2 linked regions of the Stegostoma tigrinum genome follow. The protein of the gene in region 1 purifies or fractionates together with the protein of each later gene. This does not show direct contact. Links are inferred from orthologs where the notes say so. Each region holds a gene or a part of one and is shown on either strand. Other genes may lie near its edges.

Region 1 (10,824 bases):
AAATGCTGGGCAGCCAGCAATGCCCACTTCCCACAAAAGATATTTTTCATGAATAAAGTATATCTTTGAAATAAAAAAAGTTACCATCTCTGGGTCTTGAACTACCAACATCCTGGAGTTTACTACTGCCCAGAAACTGAACTGAACCAGCTGTGGCTACAACAGCAAGTTGGTGGCTAGGAATTCTGTAGCGAACACATCCCTTCCTGACTCCCGAAACCATTTACAAGTCAGGGGTGTGGTGGAACACTTCCCAGTTGTCCGGATGAGTTCAATTCCAGCAGTATTCAAAAAGCTCGACACCATCCAGGCAAAGGCACCCTCTTGACTGACACCATATCGACCACTTTCAATTCCTTCACTCAACACTCAGTGGCAGCAATGCACACCTGCAAGATGGACTGCAGCATCTCACTTCGACTGCTTCGACAACACCTCAAAACCCATGAATCCTAACACCTTGAAGAACAAGGGCAGGAGATATTTGGGAACATCACCTGCAAGTACTCCTCCAAGCCAAAAACCATCCTCACTAGGCAAGTTTTCACTGTTCCTTTACAGTCACTGTGTCAAAATCCTGGAATTCCTTCCTCACAACACTGTAGATGCACATACCTCTCCACTGACTGCAGTCAGTTCACCACCACATTCTCTAGGGTAATTTGGGATGGCCAACCAATAATAGCCACACCAGTGAATACCATATCCCACAAATAGAAAAACACATTTGCGCTGGTTTAATATGTCATGTCTAGATCCCCTTCAACAATATGAAGAGATCAATAAGTCAATACACTTGAAATTAATTTAATAATAAAGAATAACAAGACCGATTGTTGCATTTTATTACTGTAAGAAGTGTTTGTGTTTTTAATTCACATTATGCATATGTCAACAAAAAATACCACCCAAACAATATATGCAACTCAACAATGATTAGAGTCTAAAATTTGAGCATAGTATTTGCCTGCTGTTAAATACCAGTAATCAGCCAGCCTCACATCACTCACACTATATTTGTACAGTGCCTTTAACAGATGGTACAATAGCAGGATACTTCACAAAAACAAAAAAGGAAGTTAACACAAAAACTGGAAGAAAGAGATTAGACCAAATCTGGGCAAAGACAGATATGTTGCAGATGGACTTTTACGTAGATGATGAATTTTAGACTGGAAGTTTAAAAAGATAGCAAAAAGTACCCAAATATCTTTTATCAATGTATTAGAGGCCATAATCAGATGATATAAATAGAAGCTGGGAGAGTCAGGAAGATAAAAGGTTCCAGGAGATTGTAAACATAAGGTGGAGTAATGTCACAGGGCACAATTTCAGCTTGTATTGAATTATGAGAAAACAGTATGGACTGAAGAAGGCATGGTTAATAAGTGAACACAAATTTAAACAAGACAGCATATGTGTAGCACAATTCAGGAAAGTTGAAGTTTATAGAGTGTAGAATGGGAGATTAATGAAGTTAGTTGCAATAGTCAAATTAAGACAGGCCAAACACTATCTGTATTTTTAGAATGTCTTCAACACAGTAAAAAGTTCAAGATGCTTGACAGAAAGAAAGGCATGACGGACCCAAAAGCAAAGGTGTTGGTATACAAGTTGAAGTGGGTTATATTGCCCAAGTGAAAGTCAGGGAACTTCATGACTGGTGGGAGGATGAGGAAGAAGGTGACACAGATTTAAAATAACTGACAGAAGAAGCAATGGCAACATAATGGAAAACTTTTCCACACGTCAGGTGTTTGGGATCTGGAACGCTCTGCCTTGTGGGCTGTTTTAGGTACGTTCAATAAGCTCAGCGGTTAGCACTGCATCAGCGCCAGGGACCTGGGTTCGATTCCAGCCTCGGGCGACTGTAATTGTGGAGTTTGCACATTCTCCCCGTGTCTGCGTGGATTTTCTCCGTGCTCCGGTTTCCGCCCACAGTCCAAAGATGTGCAGGCTTGGTGGATCGGCCATGCTAAATTGCCCGTAGTGTTCAGGAGTGTGTGCGTTATAGGGGGATGGGTTTGGTTGGGATGCTCTGAGGATCAGTGTGGACTTGTTAGGCCGAAGGGCCTGTTTCCACACTGTAGGGCATCTAATCTAATTTAAATATTCCAGAGAATTTGATTATCTGTAAAGGAAGAACATGAACAGCAATTAGAAAATGGCCTGGGAGTGGCAGTAAGCTCCTTCAGAGAGCGAACACAGTCATGGCAGGCCAAATGGCTTCCTTCTGAGCTATAAGCAGTGACTGGTAAGAGATGAAGCTTAATGCTTGCTGTGGCTGTAAGCGCATGCTAAAATTGAGAAGTCTGATTCATCACAGAGAGTGGGAAAACAAGATGGTGTAGTTAGTGGTAAAGAAGAAGAGTTTGTGCAAAGTGCCACTGACAACGTTTTCAATTGCGTATATATTTGAAAAGAAAAGATGTGCAGGGTTATGGAGAATGTAACCGTTGAGAAAATGGAAGTAATTTGATGGCTTTGTCAATGCACCAGCTTAATGAGCCGTACTGTCCTAACATAAACCAATGCTTTCTTCATTTAGCACCTTCAATGTAATAAAATATCCCAAGACATTCACAGGGAATGTCAATATGATATAAAATACAGCCTATTGATCTTTAATCCCATTGGCCAACTTAATACCTGGGAATTTGATGGCCTGAAATACTAATGTAAGATGACGACAGGGATTGCCTGACCCACACACATTGCCCAAATTTAATAAAACTGATATTGATTAGATCAAGAGCAGTCTGAGCTGAAATTAGCATTTCTGCCAAGCATTAACACTGGTCAGTTCATACCATTGTGAGAATCTTCACACGTTTTGGAGACGGAGCCTACAATTGTCAAGAATGAAAAACACAATTTCAGGGGACATGAAATCTACACAAACACTGCTATTTTAAGGAGCTCTTTTATGGCAGACCAGAAATGATGGAACTAACGTACAACACTAAACATAACAAAGGCAGAGAAAGCTCTATCTCAACAAGAAATGTGTCCTATGGCAGGGCTGATTAGAAAGAAATATCAAAAAACCTAGAACTTAAAACTGTTATATTCATTGCTGCTGATAATCCAAGAAACCTGTTAACTGGCTATTATAAACACAGAAATTGCTGGTGAAATCTTTATTCATTAATGGGATGACAGCATCGCTGGCCAGGCAGCATTAATTGCCCATCCCTAATTGCCCAGAGGGCAATTCAGAGTCAACAACATTGCTGTGGGTCTGGAGTCACATGTAGGCTAGACCAGGTAAGGATGGCAGTTTCCTTTCCTGAAGGACGTTAGTGAACCAGATGGGTTTTTCCAACAATTGACAATGGATTCATGATCAACATTAGATTCTTAATTCCAGATATTTTATTAAATTCAAATTTCACATGGCAGGATTTGAACCCAGGTCCCCAGAATGTTATCTGGGTTTCTGGAATAACAGTCCAACGGTAATACCACTAGACCATTGTCTCCCCTAAAACTACAGTTGGCCCGTACAGGAAGTGAACTCACGACCTTGGTGTTATTAGCACCATGCTCTAATTGGCTGAGCTAACCGGCCACGTGCAGCAGGTCTGGCAGCATCTGGGAGAAGAAAGGACAGTTAAGGTTTCAAATCTGATGACGAGAACGGTTAGCAGCTGGGAAAAAGTGTTGAAGTTGGTGGTGGAGGAGACAATGAGCGGACGGGCAGAAATGCAGCTCACACACAGAAAGATATGAAAGGAGTAGATAAACAAGGAGGAGATTTTGGATAGCCAACCAGGACAGAAGAAAAGCTGAACCAGTAATAATAAGAGCTAAGAGGATGACAGAGTTGGTGAGCTGCACTGAAAGCAACCCATACAACGTGTTAATTGGCCTAGGAGTAGGTGAGAACAGGTGACTGTGCTAAAAGCACCATGTCATAACGGAACTGGGTGTGGGGTGGGCAAAGAACATGGAAGGATGAAATCAGGTTCTGAAGTTAGAGTCCTGAAGGCTGCAGGGTCCCCCAAGTAGAAAATAAGATGCTGTTCTTCCAGCCTGCTGGAGCACTGCGGCAAGCCTGATACAGAGATGTTGGCCAAGGAACGCGGTGGTGTGTTTAAGTTACAGTCAACTGGAAACTGGACAGAAGGTATGTGTCCTGCAAAGCAGTCACCCAAATGTGTTTCATTTCCCAAATATAGAGGAGACAATATTGTGAGCAGCAAACAGACTAGGTTGAGTCAAGTACAGTACTTCACCTAGGTGTGTCTGGGTCCTTGGATCCTGAGGAGGTAAACAGCTAAGTATCACAGCCTTTGCACTTGCATGGGAAGGTGCTTTGGGGGTGTGTGGAAATGTTTGGGAATGGAGGAGGAGTGAACCAAGGTATCCTGGCGGGAATGGTCCCTGCAGAAGAGAGGAGGGGAATTTGCACATGGTTGTGACATTCTACTGGAGGTAACGGAAATGGCAGCTTACAATCCTTTGGATGTGAAAACTGGTGGGCTGGTAAGTGAGGATCAGGGAGATCCTATCCTTGCTGTGGTGGAGAAAGGAAAGGGTGAGGGCAGAAGTGCAGGAGAAAGGTTAAAGATCCTGTTGACCACAGCAGCAGGAAATCCTCAGTTGAGGAAAAAGGTGGGCATTTCTGAGAGCGAAAGTGGCATCATCAGAAAAGATGTGATTGAGATGGAGGACATAGGAGAATGCATCTGTAGTGTTTTTGTTTTATATAACTGACAGTGATCTCAGATAAAACCTTATGGTCAGGGACTCCCAAAGGACTCTAAACTATTTATGTCTAATCTTCCTTTGAATTGAACACCATCTCTTTCTAACTTCTATGTGTGTGCGTGTGTGTTAGGCCCCAAGTAACTTTGTGCGAAGGCTATATGTTATTGAAACATACAAGATTCTTAGGGGACTTCACACGGTATATTCAGAAAGGTTGTTTCCCCTTATGGGACAGTCTAGGCCCAGAGGGCTTAATCTCAAAGTAAGACAGAGATGAGGAAGATTTTCTTCTTTCAGAAGGCAGTGAATCTGTGGAATTCTTTATGACACAGGGCTTTCATGGTTGGATCTTGAAGTACGTTCAAGGCTGCGAGAGGCAGATTTTTAATCAAGAAAAAAATCAAAGATGATGAGGCAGAGGCAGGAAAGAAGAGTTGCCATCATCTGCTTGAATAGTAGGGTAGACTCGATGGGCTGAATAGCCAACACCTGCTATGTCAAAGAGAGTCGTAGAGTCTTACAGCATGGAAATAGATCCTTTATTCCAACAAGTCCATGCCAACCATGTTGCCAAATTCAACTAGTCCCACTTGCCTGCATTTGGCCCATATCCCTCCAAATCTTTCTTGTTCGTATACTTAGCCAAATGTTTTTAAATGCTGTAACTGTACCTACACCCCCACTTCCTCTGGCACTTCATTCCACACCCAAACCTATCTGTGTAAAAAGGTTGCCTCTCAGTAAGCACTTTTAAAACTTTCTCCTCTCACCTCAAAAATATGCCCCCTAGTGTGGAATTCCCCCATCCTAGGGAAAAGACCCACGCTACTCACCTTATCCAAGTCCCTTATGACTATAAACCTCCCTAAGGTCACCCCTCAATCTTCTGTGCGCCAATGAAAGAAGTCCCAAGCTCTCCAGCCTATTTTTAATACTCAAACCCTCCAGTCCCAGCAACATCTTAGTAAACCTTTTCTGAACCCTCTCCGGTTTAATAGTACCCTTCCAATAGCACGATGACCAGAACTGCACACATTATTCCAGAAGAGGCCTCACCAACGTCCTGTACAATCTCAACATGATGTCCTGGCTCCTATACTCAAATTCTATAGGTGTGAGGCGGGAAAAGCACAGCAGATCAGACAGCATCCGAGGAGCAGGCAAGTCAATGTTTCGGGCCGAAATGCTGACTTTCTTGCTCCTCATTTGATGACTGATCTGCTGCGCTTTTCCAGCCTGACACCTACAGACTCTGGCTTCCAGCATCTGCAGTCCTTCCTCACTGAGTAAGGGAGGCAACGGTCTGAGCAATGAAGGCAAGCATGCCAAATGCCTTCTTAACTATTCTGTCTACCTGTAATGCAAATTTCAAAGAATTACATACCTGAACCCTGGGTACTACAACGTTACCGATAGCCCTACCACTAATTGTAAAAGTCCTGTCATTGTGTGTTTTACCAAAATGCAATAGCTCACATTTATCCAAATTAAACTCCATCTGCCACTCCTCAGCCCATTGATCACAATCATTTTGCCATCTTAAATAACCTTCTTCACTGTACCACTAATTTTGGTGTCATCTGCAAAGTTACTAACCATGGTCTTCTGGGAGCAATTTAGCAGATGGAGTGGATTTACTTTAGTCAAAATCAAGCAAATGTATTTCTAGCCATCCTGATTATTCCCAAAAAGTTAGTCTTTATATAACAGGTAGCTAGAAACAGTCCTGACAGCAGATCAACACCTTATTGTTTTTAACAGATGTGTTGAACTTTTCAGCAAAAGAAAACTCTGGAAATACTCAGCATATTGCAGTATTCCAAAAGTTCAATGAATCAATATTCAAGACCAGAGGAAGGGTCTTAAACTTGAAACAAAGCCTGACGACCAACTTCTGTTTACTCAGGAATGCAATTCCAATTTCCCCGTTTCTGTTAACCGATTTACACAATTTGCAGTGTTTGTTACTTATTTGTATTATGTGGCCAGGTCTCTGGGGATCGAATTTAATTTGACATTCGCAGGTTTAAAAATCAGCAGGGAACCGACCAGCTGGAAGAAAACGAGGAAACAGAACGGAAAGATCTGAAGTATAATCATTAATTTAATCTCGGGACAACAAATCAGACAAGTTTGTTCCCACAACTTCCACTGTTTCAGAACGAGCAGGGTAACTTTGTGAAGAGTCGGTTAAAAAAATTACCTGATACTTTTCAATTTCTCGACATCACCAGCGGAATGAACAAATGCAATCAGTGAAAAACTCTTCACACACAGCAAAGCAAACCAGCGACTCAGCCTGTCACATGGGAGGAATTATCCAATCTGAACTAAATATTAGGAGAAGCAAACTGTTACATCGCCACCTTCCTTGGATATGCAGGAGGGAGGACTCAATGCCGCTCTGAGCAAAAAAAACCCCAGCAAAATGCAAATAAATGTCAGGCACCAGAGTCCAGCAAGTTCTGAGGAAGGGTCACAGGACCCGAAACGTTCACTCTATTTTCTCCTCCACAGATGCTGCCAGACCTGCTGAGCTTTCCCAGCAACTTTGTTTTTGTTTCAGCAAATTATTGTTGTACAAGCAGGAACTGGCCACGTGCATTTTTAGATGTATTAAAGATGTGTGAGTATAAAAAGTACTTCAAATTGTAATTCTGTGTTTAATCGTCAAACGAAGTTGAAATGGTTTTTGACATCTCTGGGTGCACCACATAATTGTAGCAAAAAGTGTACCCTGGAAGGAATTAGAGAAAATCTAGAATGCACAACTGTCAAATCACCTTCAATAACTGGTGAATCATATGGAGAACATTTCCCTGTTGTATACTTGCTTTGCTTTAGCTTTTTTGGGAGGATGAAAATCATCGTTGAATGATTACTATAGCACTGAGAGAGGTCATTCAACCAGTCATGTTCACGTCAGTTCTCAGCAAGAGCAAGACAGCTAGACCACTTCACGACCCCTTCCCCATAATTTGCAACTTCTTTTTCTCTTCAGGCCCTCACCCATGGATTAAGAATTGGTTTGCAAACACAGTCGGCTGGGATTAAAACAGAGTTGCTGGAAAAGCTCAACAGGTCTGGCAGCATCTGTGAAGGAGAAAACAGAGTTAATGTTTGTGTCCGGTGACCCTTCCTCAGGAACTGATAATGAATGGTATCCTTGAGTTACTGTGCCAGGACCTCCTGACTGAAAGCTGTCTACCTTGGCCTAACTGAGAAATACTCCTTCCATACTTTGAGACTTGGCTGTTTAGTTGAACCAATTTCAGTGAGTTTGCTGCATAAGGTACTGGCAAATGGTGCAGGTATCAGATGAACAACATGTTCATTCCTTTGATTGATCCCTTCTGACAATGAGATCAAGCTTTTTTTTCTGATGAAGGGTCTAGGCCTGAAACGTCAGCTTTTGTGCTCCTAGTATGCTGCTTGGCCTGCTGTGTTCATCCAGCTGCACACTTTGTTATCTTTAATGAGATCAAGCTGTCTGCTTTTACCTCCCCTCCAGGGAGCAGAGTGTACAGTATCAAATGTGCTGACGATATATGTTGTAAACAGAAGCATAGAATCGCCACAGTGTGTGGAAGCAGGGCATTTGGTCTGCTGAGTCCACAACGACCCTCCGAAGAACATCCTACCCTATCCCTGTAACCCTGCATTTCTCTCGGCTAAACACCTAATTTAACATCTTTGGACTGTAGGAGAAAACTGGAGCACCCAGAGGAAATCCATGCAGACCCGGGGAGAATGTGCAAACTCCACACAGACCCGAGGGTGGAATTATACCCGGGACCATGGTGCTGTGAGGCAGCAGTGAGCTATCAAGTCACCGCGCTGCCCATACGTGTACAGTATAACACATGTATACAAAGCATTTCCTATTGACAACATTGCTCCTTTTGGTATTCACCTTCTATCAGTGTCCTCGGTCTCTTGGCTCTTCTCTGTTCGCACTGTCTAGACTCCTCATGACTTTGAATACTATCAAATCTCCCCTCTTTAAGGAGAACAACCTCAGTTTCTCTCTTCGATCTATTTAACTGTACTTATACCTGGAACCAACATTTGTGCAACTTCTTGGCACTGGCTCACATCCTTCACACTGCCCAATATTAGACATATTGGTTTGAATTCTTCCTGCTCCCAAATGACATGGGCATTAATGAGTCAGTTGGGAAAACATTGAAATTGGCAGAAATTACACTCTCATTGACAAAAGGAAAAAAGTCAGGTCAACCAATCTTTGAATGGCGAGACAGGAATGTCATTGGTGAGCCACGAGAGATCTATTTTGCACATGCTACATGTCTTTTTACCTAATCTCTCCTCATTGATATGCAGTTTGCCATTCTCCCAGCTAGTGGATAGAAACTAGATGCCAAGAGTTTCTAACATTAAAGTCAGAGAGGGTATCTGGTGGCTCCAGCTCATTGCTTGCTTTTCCAAACCTTTACCTTGATCAACAGTACAGAACATTTTAGGCTTGCTCCATTGACAACAACAGCACGGGCCTTGGCATGGACACATACCAGACTCACTGCACCCTCATGAAATATCTCCAAAACACTTACAACTGCTCTTCAATGCCCCATTTTGGAGTGTACTGGCACTTATCACTGTAACAATACTGCCAAGATAATTTGCCTGCAGGGATTAGCACCTAGTTGGACTAGGGTGTACCTCAGGGCTGTTTGCTTGGGTCTTTTAGTGCTCACTCACTTTGTGCTTTCTTCAATACTCACAGAGCCTATGCCTTGCCTTTTTGCGATGTGCCCTATCAGCTAGAGCTTAGAGGCTCGTCAAACTTTTCTCACCTTGCTTCACAGACACAAAACTAGGTAGCTTGACTTCATTGTCAGAAGTGATCAGTCAAAGGAATGAACATGTTGCCACACAGTGTTAGGCTATGTTCATCTGATACCTGCACCATTTGCTAGTACCTTATGCGGCAAACTCACTGAAATTTGTTCAACCAAACAGCCAAGTCTCAAAGTATGAGGGACTGTTTCTCAGTCAGGCCAAGGAAGATAGCCTTCAGTCAGGAGGTCCTGGCACAGTAAGTCAAGGACATCATTCATTATCAGTCGAGTGGCTTGGACATGGCCAGCCAGGAACTTGCGATGGTCAGACTCAGTGAGCCGATAGTCTGAAGACCAGGAAGTGCACGACAGTCAGACTTGCAGGTTCAGTGCAAAAAGTCTGGGGACTCTGAGTAAGTCAGTCGGGAGCTGTACAGAGATCAGTCAGGGATCTGGTCAGTCTTCAGTTTTGGGCGGTCAGCTCGCTTATAGTCAACAGGGTTTATCAGGGGCACCGGCTACGGAAGGGATGCTGGAGAAGTCAATTCTGGGCATTGGAGGCAGCATGCTGGAATACAGAGGGGACAATAATGGACAAGATGGGAAACTCAATTTGTAAGCAGGAGGGACATAATAGTGCATTAAAAAAAAAGGTTACTGTGGCAAGCAGGGTGGTAGAGGTGGGATGTAATGTCAATAGTCACAAACATCCGGTTTTCAGTGCAGACAGGGCAGCATGATTGTTGCCATGCTTGAGCTGCAGGCTACACCCAGCAACTATGCCCGATTAAGTTGAAGTAAAGGCAACACCAGTTACTACAACCTGAGAAAGTAGTTATATTTGTTCGCTATTATATCTGTGTAAATCCATACCAATGTTCATCTGCTTTGCTGCAATTTCTGTTTAGCCATTAGAGCTGCCAGTGAAAAAGTTGATGCATGTTTAATTTTCCAAAACATATTCAATTTATAGCTAATGTAACTTCTTTATTCAAAAAGAGAGTGAGGCAGAAAGCAAGCCAGTTAACATATATCACAGGGAAAATATTAAAAATCACTGTTATAAAGATAACTTATCCAAGGTAATCAGACAGAGGCAACATGGTTTTGACTGGTTTGCTAGCCGGAAGCAGAGAGTAGAAATTTGTGAGTCTCTTTCAGGCTGAAAGGATGTTATGAGCAGTGTACAGTAGAGGTCAATGCTGGAGCCTCAACTCTTTACAATTGACGGAAATGCTTTGGATGAAGGGATCGAAGGTGTGGCACCTAAATTTTCTAATGACACAAAGATAGTAGGAAATTGAGTTTG
Region 2 (10,824 bases), on another chromosome or scaffold:
ATAGCTACTCCAACAATTGAGTAGCTCAGTCAAATCATCTGTAGCGGGCAGGAACCCGTGCGTTCAATCCATGAACTGAAGACTGTAAACATCCTGACAGAAAAAGCATAACTCTACACTTCGCTGGAGTAAACTGACGATTGTCCTAACATTCCTTCCGAGCCCATAATTTATCAGCTCACTTCCTTACAACAAAGATAATGGGAACTGCATAGAACATAGAACATTACAGCATAGTACAGGCCCTTCGGCCCTCAATGTTGTGCCGACCTGTCATACCGATCTGAAGCCCATTTAACCTACACTATTCCATTTACGTCCATCTGCTTATCCATTACTTGCTGCACCTGCACGTTAAACTTTTTTTATATACATAAGAACACTAGATCCCTCTGCACTGCATATTTTTGCAATCTCTCCATAATTCAGTTGTATTCTGCCTTTTGATTCTTCCTCTCAAAGTGCATGGCCTTATTGGCTCCTAGATGAAATTCCGCCTGTCAAATTTTCACCCACACACTCATTGTACCTTTATACTCTCGCTGATTTCTTATGCCCTCATCGCAACATGCCCTCCCACCTATTTTTGTATCAGCAGCAAATCTGGAGAAATTACACTCTACCCCATCTTCCAAGTCATCAATTCAGATGCTGTATAATTGAGGCTCTAAGACTGATCATAGAGGGGAATTTTAAGGATGGTGATTAAAAACTCATGAGTGCCACAAGGATTAGACCTGAGGCCACGATTATTTACAATATTTCTTAACTACTCAAATGTTGTATGTAAAAGTACCCTCACCAAGTTTGTGTCTGATACAAAAATAGATAGGAAGGTAAATAGTGAGGATAAGAAAAGAAGTCCACAGAGGGGTACAGACAAGTTAAATGATGGGGTGAAAAACTAGGTAGATGGAACAAAATATGGCAAAATATAAGGTTATGAAATTTAGCAGGAAGAATAGATTATTAAAATAGGGAAATATTGCAAAAAACTGCAATGCAGAACATTCATGAATCACAAAAAAAACTAGCATTCCAGTTCAGCAGGAAATAGGAAAAGCAAAAGGAATGTCGGCCTTTAGTTCAAAGGAAATGGAGAATAAAAATTGGCAGCAAAGGCACTGATCAGATCACAGAAATTACTAGAAAAGCTCAGCAGGTCTGGCATGATCTATGGAGAGAAACCGCTGGAGAATTCCAAGATAATAAAATGTGAGGCTGGATGAACACAGCAGGCCAAGCAGCATCTCAGGAGCACAAAAGCTGACGTTTCGGGCCACCATCAGAGAGGGGGATGGGGAGAGGGAACTGGAATAAATAGGGAGAGAGGGGGAGGCGGACCGAAGATGGAGAGTAAAGAAGATAGGTGGAGAGAGTGTAGGTGGGGAGGTAGGGTGGGGATAGGTTAGTCCAGGGAAGACGGACAGGTCAAGGAGGTGGGATGAGGTTAGTAGGTAGATGGGGGTGCGGCTTGGGGTGGGAGGAAGGGATGGGTGAGAGGACGAACCGGTTAGGGAGGCAGAGACAGGTTGGACTGGTTTTGGGATGCAGTGGGTGGGGGGGGGAAGAGCTGGGCTGGTTGTGTGGTGCAGTGGGGGGAGGGGACGAACTGGGCTGGTTTAGGGATGCAGTAGGGGAAGGGGAGATTTTGAAACTGGTGAAGTCCACATTGATACCATATGGCTGCAGGGTTCCCAGGCGGAATATGAGTTGCTGTTCCTGCAACCTTCGGGTGGCATCATTGTGGCACTGCAGGAGGCCCATGATGGACATGTCATCTAAAGAATGGGAGGGGGAGTGGAAATGGTTTGCGACTGGGAGGTGCAGTTGTTTGTTGCGAACTGAGCAGAGGTGTTCTGCAAAGCGGTCCCCAAGCCTCCGCTTGGTTTCCCCAATGTAGAGGAAGCCGCACCGGGTACAGTGGATGCAGTATACCACATTGGCAGATGTGCAGGTGAACCTCTGCTTAATGTGGAATGTCATCTTGGGGCCTGGGATGGGGGTGAGGGAGGAGGTGTGGGGACAAGTGTAGCATTTCCTGCGGTTGCAGTTGAAGGTGCCCGGTGTGGTGGGGTTGGAGGGCAGTGTGGAGCGAACAAGGGAGTCACGGAGAGAGTGGTCTCTCCGGAAAGCTGACAGGGGAGGGGATGGAAAAATGTCTTGGGTGGTGGGGTCGGATTGTAAATGGCGGAAGTGTCGGAGGATAATGCGTTGTATCCGGACGTTGGGAGGGTGGTGTGTGAGAACGAGGGGGATCCTCTTGGGGCGGTTGTGGCGGGGGCGGGGTGTGAGGGATGTGTTGCGGGAAATACGGGAGACGCGGTCAATGGCGTTTTTGATCACTGTGGGGGGAAAGTTGCGGTCCTTGAAGAACTTGGACATCTGGGATGTGCGGGAGTGGAATGTCTTATCGTGGGAGCAGATGCGGCGGAGGCGGAGGAATTGGGAATAGGGGATGGAATTTTTGCAGGAGGGTGGGTGGGAGGAGGTGTATTCCAGGTAGCTGTGGGAGTCGGTGGGCTTGAAATGGACATCAGTTACAAGCTGGTTGCCTGAGATGGAGACTGAGAGGTCCAGGAAGGTGAGGGATGTGCTGGAGATGGCCCAGGTGAACTGAAGGTTGGGGTGGAAGGTGTTGGTGAAGTGGATGAACTGTTCGAGCTCCTCTGGGGAGCAAGAGGCGGCGCCGATACAGTCATCAATGTACCGGAGAAAGAGGTGGGGTTTGGGGCCTGTGTAGGTGCGGAAGAGGGACTGTTCCACGTAACCTACAAAGAGGCAGGCATAGCTGGGGTCCATGCGGGTGCCCATGGCCACCCCCTTAGTCTGTAGGAAGTGGGAGGAGTCAAAAGAGAAGTTGTTGAGTGTGAGGACGAGTTCAGCTAGGCGGATGAGAGTGCCGGTGGAGGGGGACTGGTCGGGCCTGCGGGACAGGAAGAAGCGGAGGGCCTTGAGGCCATCTCCATGCGGAATGCAGGTGTACAGGGACTGGACGTCCATGGTGAATATGAGGTGTTGGGGGCCAGGGAATTGGAAGTCCTGGAGTAGGTGGAGGGCGTGGGTGGTGTCACGGACGTAGGTGGGGAGTTCCTGGACCAAAGGGGAGAAATTGGAGTCCAGATAGGTGGAGATGAGTTTGGTGGGGCAGGAGCAGTCTGAGACGATGGGTCGACTAGGGCAGGCAGGTTTGTGGATTTTGGGAAGGAGATAGAAACGGGCCGTGCGGGGTTGGGGAATAATAAGGTTGGAGGCTGTGGGTGGGAGGTCCCCTGTGGTGATGAGGTCGTGAATGGTGTTGGAGATGATGGTTTGGTGCTCGGGTGTGGGGTCATGATTGAGGAGGCGGTAGGAGGTGGTGTCGGAGAGTTGGCGTCTGGCCTCGGCGATGTAGAGGTCAGTGCGCCATACTACCACTGCGCCACCCTTGTCTGCGGGTTTGATGGTGAGGTTTGGGTTGGAGCGGAGGGCTGCCCGTTCTGCGGGGGAGAGGTTGGAGTGGGTGAGAGGGGTGGAGAGGTTGAGGCGGTTAATGTCTCGACGGCAGTTGGAGATGAAGAGGTCGAGGGAGGGTAGGAGGCCTGGGGGTGGTGTCCAGGAGGCGGACTTGTGTTGGAAGCGGGTGAAGGGGTCAGTGGAAGGAGGGTTGGGTTCCCGGTTGAAGAAGTAGGCATGGAGGCGAAGACGGCGGAAAAACTGCTCTATGTCCAACCGTGACTGGTATTCGTTGATGTGTGGTTGTAGGGGGACAAAGGTGAGCCCCTTGCTAAGGACTGACCGTTCGTCCTCAGTCAGTGGGAGGTCTGGGGGGATGGTGAAGATGCGGCAGGGCTCAGTGTGGCTGTCTTCTCTGGGGTTGCTGGCTGTGGAGGTTGTGGGCGGAGCGATGAGGTTGTCGGCCATGGGCGGGGTTCCGTCAGCCGTGGGCGGGGTTCCGTCGGCTGTTGGAGGATCGGGGTGGGCGGCAGCAGCTGCGGTGAGGGTGGTGTGTGTGGTGTTGTACCTGGACGTGGAGGTGGTGACTGCAGCAGCGGTTCCGGAAGTTCTGTGGCCGGCGGAGGCGGATGTGACGTCATCGGTGGGGTCTCCGGCCGTGTCCTCATGGTCAATGGCGGCGGGTGCATGGTGGGGGAGGGGCAGGGACAGAGTCGGGATTTGGGAGGCGCAGGAATCCTCTAGTGGGTCGCAGGGGCCCGTGAGTTGGTTGTACTTACGATTTTTGGTGTCCAAACCGCAGGAAATGCTACACTTGTCCCCACACCTCCTCCCTCACCCCCATCCCAGGCCCCAAGATGACATTCCACATTAAGCAGAGGTTCACCTGCACATCTGCCAATGTGGTATACTGCATCCACTGTACCCGGTGCGGCTTCCTCTACATTGGGGAAACCAAGCGGAAGCTTGGGGACCGCTTTGCAGAACACCTCTGCTCAGTTCGCAACAAACAACTGCACCTCCCAGTCGCAAACCATTTCCACTCCCCCTCCCATTCTCTAGATGACATGTCCATCATGGGCCTCCTGCAGTGCCACAATGATGCCACCCAAAGGTTGCAGGAACAGCAACTCATATTCCACCTGGGAACCCTGCAGCCATATGGTATCAATGTGGACTTCACCAGTTTCAAAATCTCCCCTTCCCCTACTGCATCCCTAAACCTGCCGAGTTCGTCCCCTCCCCCCACTGCACCACACAACCAGCCCAGCTCTTCCCCCCCCACCCACCCACTGCATCCCAAAACCAGTCCAACCTGTCTCTGCCTCCCTAACCGGTTCTTCCTCTCACCCATCCCTTCCTCCCACCCCAAGCCGCACCCCCAGCTACCTACTAACCTCATCCCACCTCCTTGACCTGTCCGTCTTCCCTGGACTGACCTATCCCCTCCCTACCTCCCCACATATACTCTCTCCACCTATCTTCTTTACTCTCCATCTTCGGTCCGCCTCCCCCTCTCTCCCTATTTATTCCAGTTCCCTCCCCCCATCCCCCTCTCTGATGAAGGGTCTAGGCCCGAAACGTCAGCTTTTGTGCTCCTGAGATGCTGCTTGGCCTGCTGTGTTCATCCAGCCTCACATTTTATTACTTCCTTATAACAATCTTCCTCCCGAAAGTTGTGAAAATCCATCACCCATCATCGACTACAATTCCGGCAAGGATCAGGAATATCCGGTCGCACTCGGAAATATCCGGCCAGAATCGGCAATTTCCGGTCTACCTCGGGTATTTCCGCCAAGACCGGGCTAGCAGCATGGTGGATTCTGTGCAACCGTAGGTTCGGGTGCCAATGGAGAGTCGGCCTCCTCCAGCAAAGAAGTTCAAAACATCATTGTCCGTGTGTGCTCAAAGGCGGGACAATGCACTCTCGCGGGAGATGGAGATTGACCAACAGCGGAGAGAACTGCCCATCTATCGGGCTCGGGGAAAGCTCCTTGGACAACTGCGACAGCTGGACGCGGCGGTGATCATTGGTAACCACCGTCGGCCGGCCTAACCAAAACCTCCCCCAAGCTAAGAAACAATGGAGTGTGGAACTGGAGGAACACGGCATCATCAGGGGAACAGTGACTCGAAATGTGAGCTTTCCTGCTCCCCTGATGCCACCTGGCCTGCTGTGTTCCTCTAGCTCCACACTGCTGTTGTCTCTGTTTCTAGCAGCTCTTAAATTCTCCCCCCCCAAACTAACTCGACCACCACCACCCCCAGCCGAACCATCCCCCAAACTAATACCACCACCACCACCCCCAGCCGAACCATCCCCCAAACTAATACACCACCACCACCCCCAGCCGAACCACCCTCCAAACTAATACCACCACCACCTCCCCAGCCGAACCCCCCTCCCAGCTAACGCTACCACCACCACCTCCCCAGCCGAACCCCCCTCCCAGCTAACGCTACCACCACCACCTCCCCAGCCAAACCCCCCTCCCAGCTAACGCAACCACCACCACCTCCCCAGCCAAACTCCCCTCCCAGCTAACGCTACCACCACCACCTCCCCAGCCAAACCCCCCTCCCAGCTAACGCTACCACCACCACCTCCCCAGCCAAACCCCCCTCCCAGCTAACGCAACCACCACCACCTCCCCAGCCAAACCCCCCTCCCAGCTAACGCTACCACCACCACCTCCCCAGCCAAACCCCCCTCCCAGCTAACGCAACCACCACCACCTCCCCAGCCAAACCCCCCTCCCAGCTAACGCAACCACCACCACCTCCCCAGCCAAACCCCCCTCCCAGCTAACGCAACCACCACCACCTCCCCAGCCAAACTCCCCCTCCAAACTAATACCACCACCACCACCTCCCCAGCCAAACCATTCTCCAAACTAACTCTACCACCACCAGCACCAAGCCCCCACCAGAACCAACCCCATATTAACCCCAAACTGAACTAACCTTGACCTCAACACCCTCCCATGAAACTGGACTACTACTGCCTGAAACCACGCCCCAAAAGAACCCACACTAAAATCAACTCCAAAACTACTCTTGCTGTCCCCCAGCCTCATTAAAACCTTCCCTGAACTGACATCCACCAAATAATGCCCTCTGTAACCAGCTCTCCCCCTAACTAACCCTATCTGAAACCATCCCTGAAAACCTACCCCTCCAAACTGACCACCAAAAACTAGCCTGTCCAATCTAATTCTTCCTAAACTAACCACCCCTCAAACTAATCACCCTTTTAAACTGTTCTCCAAATTAGCACTACCACTTTGAAACCATCTCCTGCACCCTCAGCTTAATTAAACCCAACCCCTAAACTAATCTACTCTTGGAACTACCTCCCAAAGAAAGCCCTGCACAAATTCCCAGGAAAAAAAAATCCCTGAAAACCAACTCCCAAATCAATCTCTTCCCTAAAACCAACCCCAAACATACTTTTCTGAAGCCATCTCTCAATCTGACCCACCTGCAAATAAATCGTCGCTCCAAAGCCCCCACCCAAAATCATATCTTTTCCCCCCACCCCCAACAAATCTATACCCCAAACTGATCCCTTCCTGGGAACCACATCCTTCCAAAAGCACACCCAAACTGAAAACCCCTTCCCAAACTCTCCCCCCAAACAGACCTAGAGTTACTTGCTATCTCCTCTCTCCCATTTTGACTAGTGTCATATTAGCAGTTTTCCAATAGTCTGGTACTTCTGCAGAGCACAAAGATTTTTGGAAAATAACAACCCTGAAATGGCAAACTGATTGCTGTCCCACTGGCCTTCTGACTCACCCCACCCTTGATACTTACCTTGACCCCATAGACCCACATACTCACCCTGACCACCCCGACACTCTCAGGATTGTGGGATGCCAACATCACACTGACTGCACCAGTATGTGGCGAATTACAACACCATTCGGTGACTGTAGCCTCATCCTGTGAGGAAAGGGGGACTGAATGAAAATTTGTCAGAGGTGTTTGCTTTTCAGTGAGATATTAAAACCAAGTTCTAGCTTCTAACATAACAGGTCCCTGACAGAGTAATGCAGGAAAGTTGGAATTTTTTCTGAGTCTGATCAATATTTGACTCCTAACCAATACCAATGAAATGAGAAATAAAACCCTAAAATGTTGGAACTCCCCAGCAGGTTAGGCAATATCTGTGGCTACAGAAGAATACACTTACAAAATAAGATTGCTTAATTTTGTCATTGTTACTTGTGTGGAAATAGGATTCACATTTACCTACAAACTAGTAGTGATAATCTTCAAAAATAATCGGCGGCAGAGTGCTGAGAAATGTATAAATCAGTGCAAGTTTGACCTGTTTCTGGTGTTCCAAGTTCTACAAGGTGGCAATTCCACTGGGTAGTAATTTGCACAGTATATTTTTGTGGAAAGTTGAGGTACATTTCAATATGACCTTGAAAGCAGCAGAATTTACCTCATCAAACATTGAAAAGATAATAGTCAGCTACTTCTTTCTGAAGTAATGCCATTTCATTAAAGAAGGTATACTGTTTTAGTAATTGTAAGTGGACTTTGAGATTGTTTGCAACCCAACTTCTGAGTTAATATTGCTTGACTTTGATTATTAAATTGAGTGGCACTATCTTTGCAACCAAAACAACATCTGTTCACTACATGCATCCCTTAAACATAGGGGCAGCTGGTAAATGATTGGATGGTGAAACTCTTATTAATAAATGTGTGTAATTATGAGGTATGACCATGATTGTGCTGAGGCTATACAAGTACGTAATTCACTTTAGTGCAGTCTGATTAAACCCTGTTTAACTTTAGTAGAAGTAACTTGCCTGTGTTAACATAAGAACTAGGAGCTGGAGTGGTTCATTCGGCTCCACAAGCCTGCTTCGTTTAATACGATCATGGCTGATCTCATCTTGGCTTCAACTCCACATTCCTGCCTGCTCTCCATGACCCTTCAACCTCTTATTAATTTAAGATCCATCTGTCTCCTCCTTTTTAAATTTGCTTAAAGTCAGAGCATCCACCGTACTCTGGGACGGCAAATTCCACAAATCAGCAACCCTTTTGAGAGAAGTAATTTCTCCTAATCTCTTCTAAAACTGCTATCCCTTATTCTAAGACAATTGCTTTTCATTCTAGATTGCCCTACAGGGGGAAACATCCTCTCTATGACTACTTTGTCAATCCCATTTCGCATCTTATATCCCTAAATCAGATCTCCTCTCATTCTTCTGACCTTCACAGAGGAATTGCTTAAATTGCTCAATCTTTCTTCACCTTTTGATTTAATCCCATGGACCTCCTCTGAACTGCTTCCAATGCAACTAAATCTCTCCTTGGGTAAGGGAACCAAAATTGTATGCAGTACTGCAGGGGCACTCTCACTAATGCCTCATATAGTTGCAGTAACACTTAATTTTTGCAGGTAAATTTTTGTTAAGCAAATGTATTAAGAGATGTAGAGAAAGGCCACACAGATCAGCTTTGATTTCAATGAATGGTAGATCAGGCTGGAGGGCTGAAAGGTTACAGGAATAAGCCATCCTTGTGTATGTTTATACTCTTCATTGAGCAATAAATGGCAAAATTCCATTGCCTTCCCCCCCCCACTCCCCCCGGCACCATTACCTGCTGTACCTGCAAACTAGCTTTTTGTAATTCATGCACAACAGCATCCAGATCCATCTGCACTGAACTACTCCGAGGTTCCTCTTGATTTAGATAATAATTTGCCTTTCTATTCCTCTGATGAAATAGATAGCCTTATGTTTATCCATGTTAAACTTCATTTGCCAAAATTTGGCCGATTCATCTAACCTGTCCATATCCATTTGTAAATTTCTTATTTCTGCATCAGTACTTACATTTCCACCTGTTTTAGTGTCGTTTGCAAGTTTGGCTATAGTGCTTTCTGTCCCTGCACCAAGTCATTAATATTGATTGTCAGGCCCCAACTACTTACAATCCGGCACCCTAGTAAATCTGTGTTGTGACCTAAAAGATCAATATATCCTGAGTATGTGTATAACATAGTGACCATGTCACTCAACCACTAACTCAGAACCCCAGACTGGAGACGTGTTCATTAAAACAAAATTGGAAAATAAATGTAGCCGTTATTGATTGTCTCAAAAACACATCTGGCTCATGAATCACCTTTGGGGAAGGAAACTTTACCTTGTCTGGCTTACATGTGACTCCAGATGCTTCCTGTGGTAATGTAGTTGACTTTTAACTGCACTTTGAACAATTGGAATGTGCAAACAAAGCTGATCTTGCTGCTGACTTCCAAAATCCATGGACATATAAAACCAAAAGCTTTTATGATAAACAGCCTGCATGGGTTTCCTCTGGGTCCTCTGGTTTCCTCCCACACTCCAAAGATGTGCAGGCTAGATGGATGGGCCATGCTGAATTGCCCATAGTGTTCAGGGACGTGTAGATTAGGTGGATCATGGAGAATGCATCTAGGTTGGATGCTGAGGGTCAGTGTGGACTTGTTGAGCCAAAGGGCCTGTTTCCACACTAGGGATTCTGAAGCCTACGAATACGTGAATATTTCTTTTAAATGTCTTGATGATTTCAGTACAGCATTCTTGAGCATTCCTTTCTTAGGATCTGGATTCCAATCTATACCATTATGATGAAGGACCACTCAAGGTATTAGTTGTGAGGGTTTTGAAAGAGATCAATTTAAAAGCCTTGGCCGGGCACAAAGCCCAGATGAGGGGACAACTTGCTAAACCTGGCTCATGTTACGATGTTTTTAATTCAAGGTGAGACAGGTTCGGGGAAGACGACACAGATTCCACAGTATCTGTATGAAGCCACCATCGGGCGACAGGGTATCATTGGCGTCACACAGCCCCGACGTGTGGCAGCAATATCACTTGCAGCTCGTGTCTCAGAAGAAAAGAAAACAGAGTTAGGCACGTTGGTAAGATTTTATTTTAACGCTTCTTGTAGTGTCAGCGACAAGGCCAGCATTTGTTGCTTATCCCTGGTTGCTTTTAATATGTAACTTCTAAGAACAAAATAAATAGGAAGAAGAATAGGTTTTTCAGCCCATTGCGCTAGCTCCACCATTCTAGGTCATTGTTGATCATCTCATTAATGAATGTAGCTGGCATTTGACTGCCTTTGCCTAAACTTCATGCTTTCCAAAAGTTGGAGCATTTTCTTGAGCCTGTCATCATGGGTGTAATTATTTGGAACTGAAATAAGTGGCTCATTTAAATAATGCACTATTCCCTGAATTTCTTGCAAACTGAGTGTTAATAGTCAAATATGACATTGACTTGTCAACTAAAGGGTGCAGATATGCGTTTTGTCTAAGTTTTGTGGGGAAAAAAACTCTAGATTTCTGATAATGTGGTGAATACATTCTTG

The links. Proteins that work in one complex are often made in the same cells at the same time.
Region 2: the proteins of usp36 (region 1) and dhx33 purify together in Homo sapiens (affinity purification with mass spectrometry; 5 studies listed by BioGRID and IntAct, counting the BioPlex papers as one, with this or other methods). This does not show direct contact. The link is inferred for Stegostoma tigrinum from reciprocal best matches to the Homo sapiens genes USP36 and DHX33.

What each region holds. Positions count from the first base shown.
Region 1 is NC_081375.1:16,690,436-16,701,259, forward strand, and holds the start of usp36 (ubiquitin carboxyl-terminal hydrolase 36), read right to left. Parts: upstream 7,004-10,824; 5' UTR 6,917-7,003; intron 1-6,916. UniProt on the Homo sapiens protein: Deubiquitinase essential for the regulation of nucleolar structure and function. Required for cell and organism viability.
Region 2 is NC_081380.1:835,971-846,794, forward strand, and holds the start of dhx33 (ATP-dependent RNA helicase DHX33), read left to right. Parts: upstream 1-5,232; 5' UTR 5,233-5,284; coding exon 5,285-5,468; exon of another isoform or gene 5,469-5,518; coding exon of another isoform or gene 5,519-5,573; intron 5,574-10,211; coding exon 10,212-10,372; intron 10,373-10,824. UniProt on the Homo sapiens protein: Implicated in nucleolar organization, ribosome biogenesis, protein synthesis and cytoplasmic dsRNA sensing. Stimulates RNA polymerase I transcription of the 47S precursor rRNA.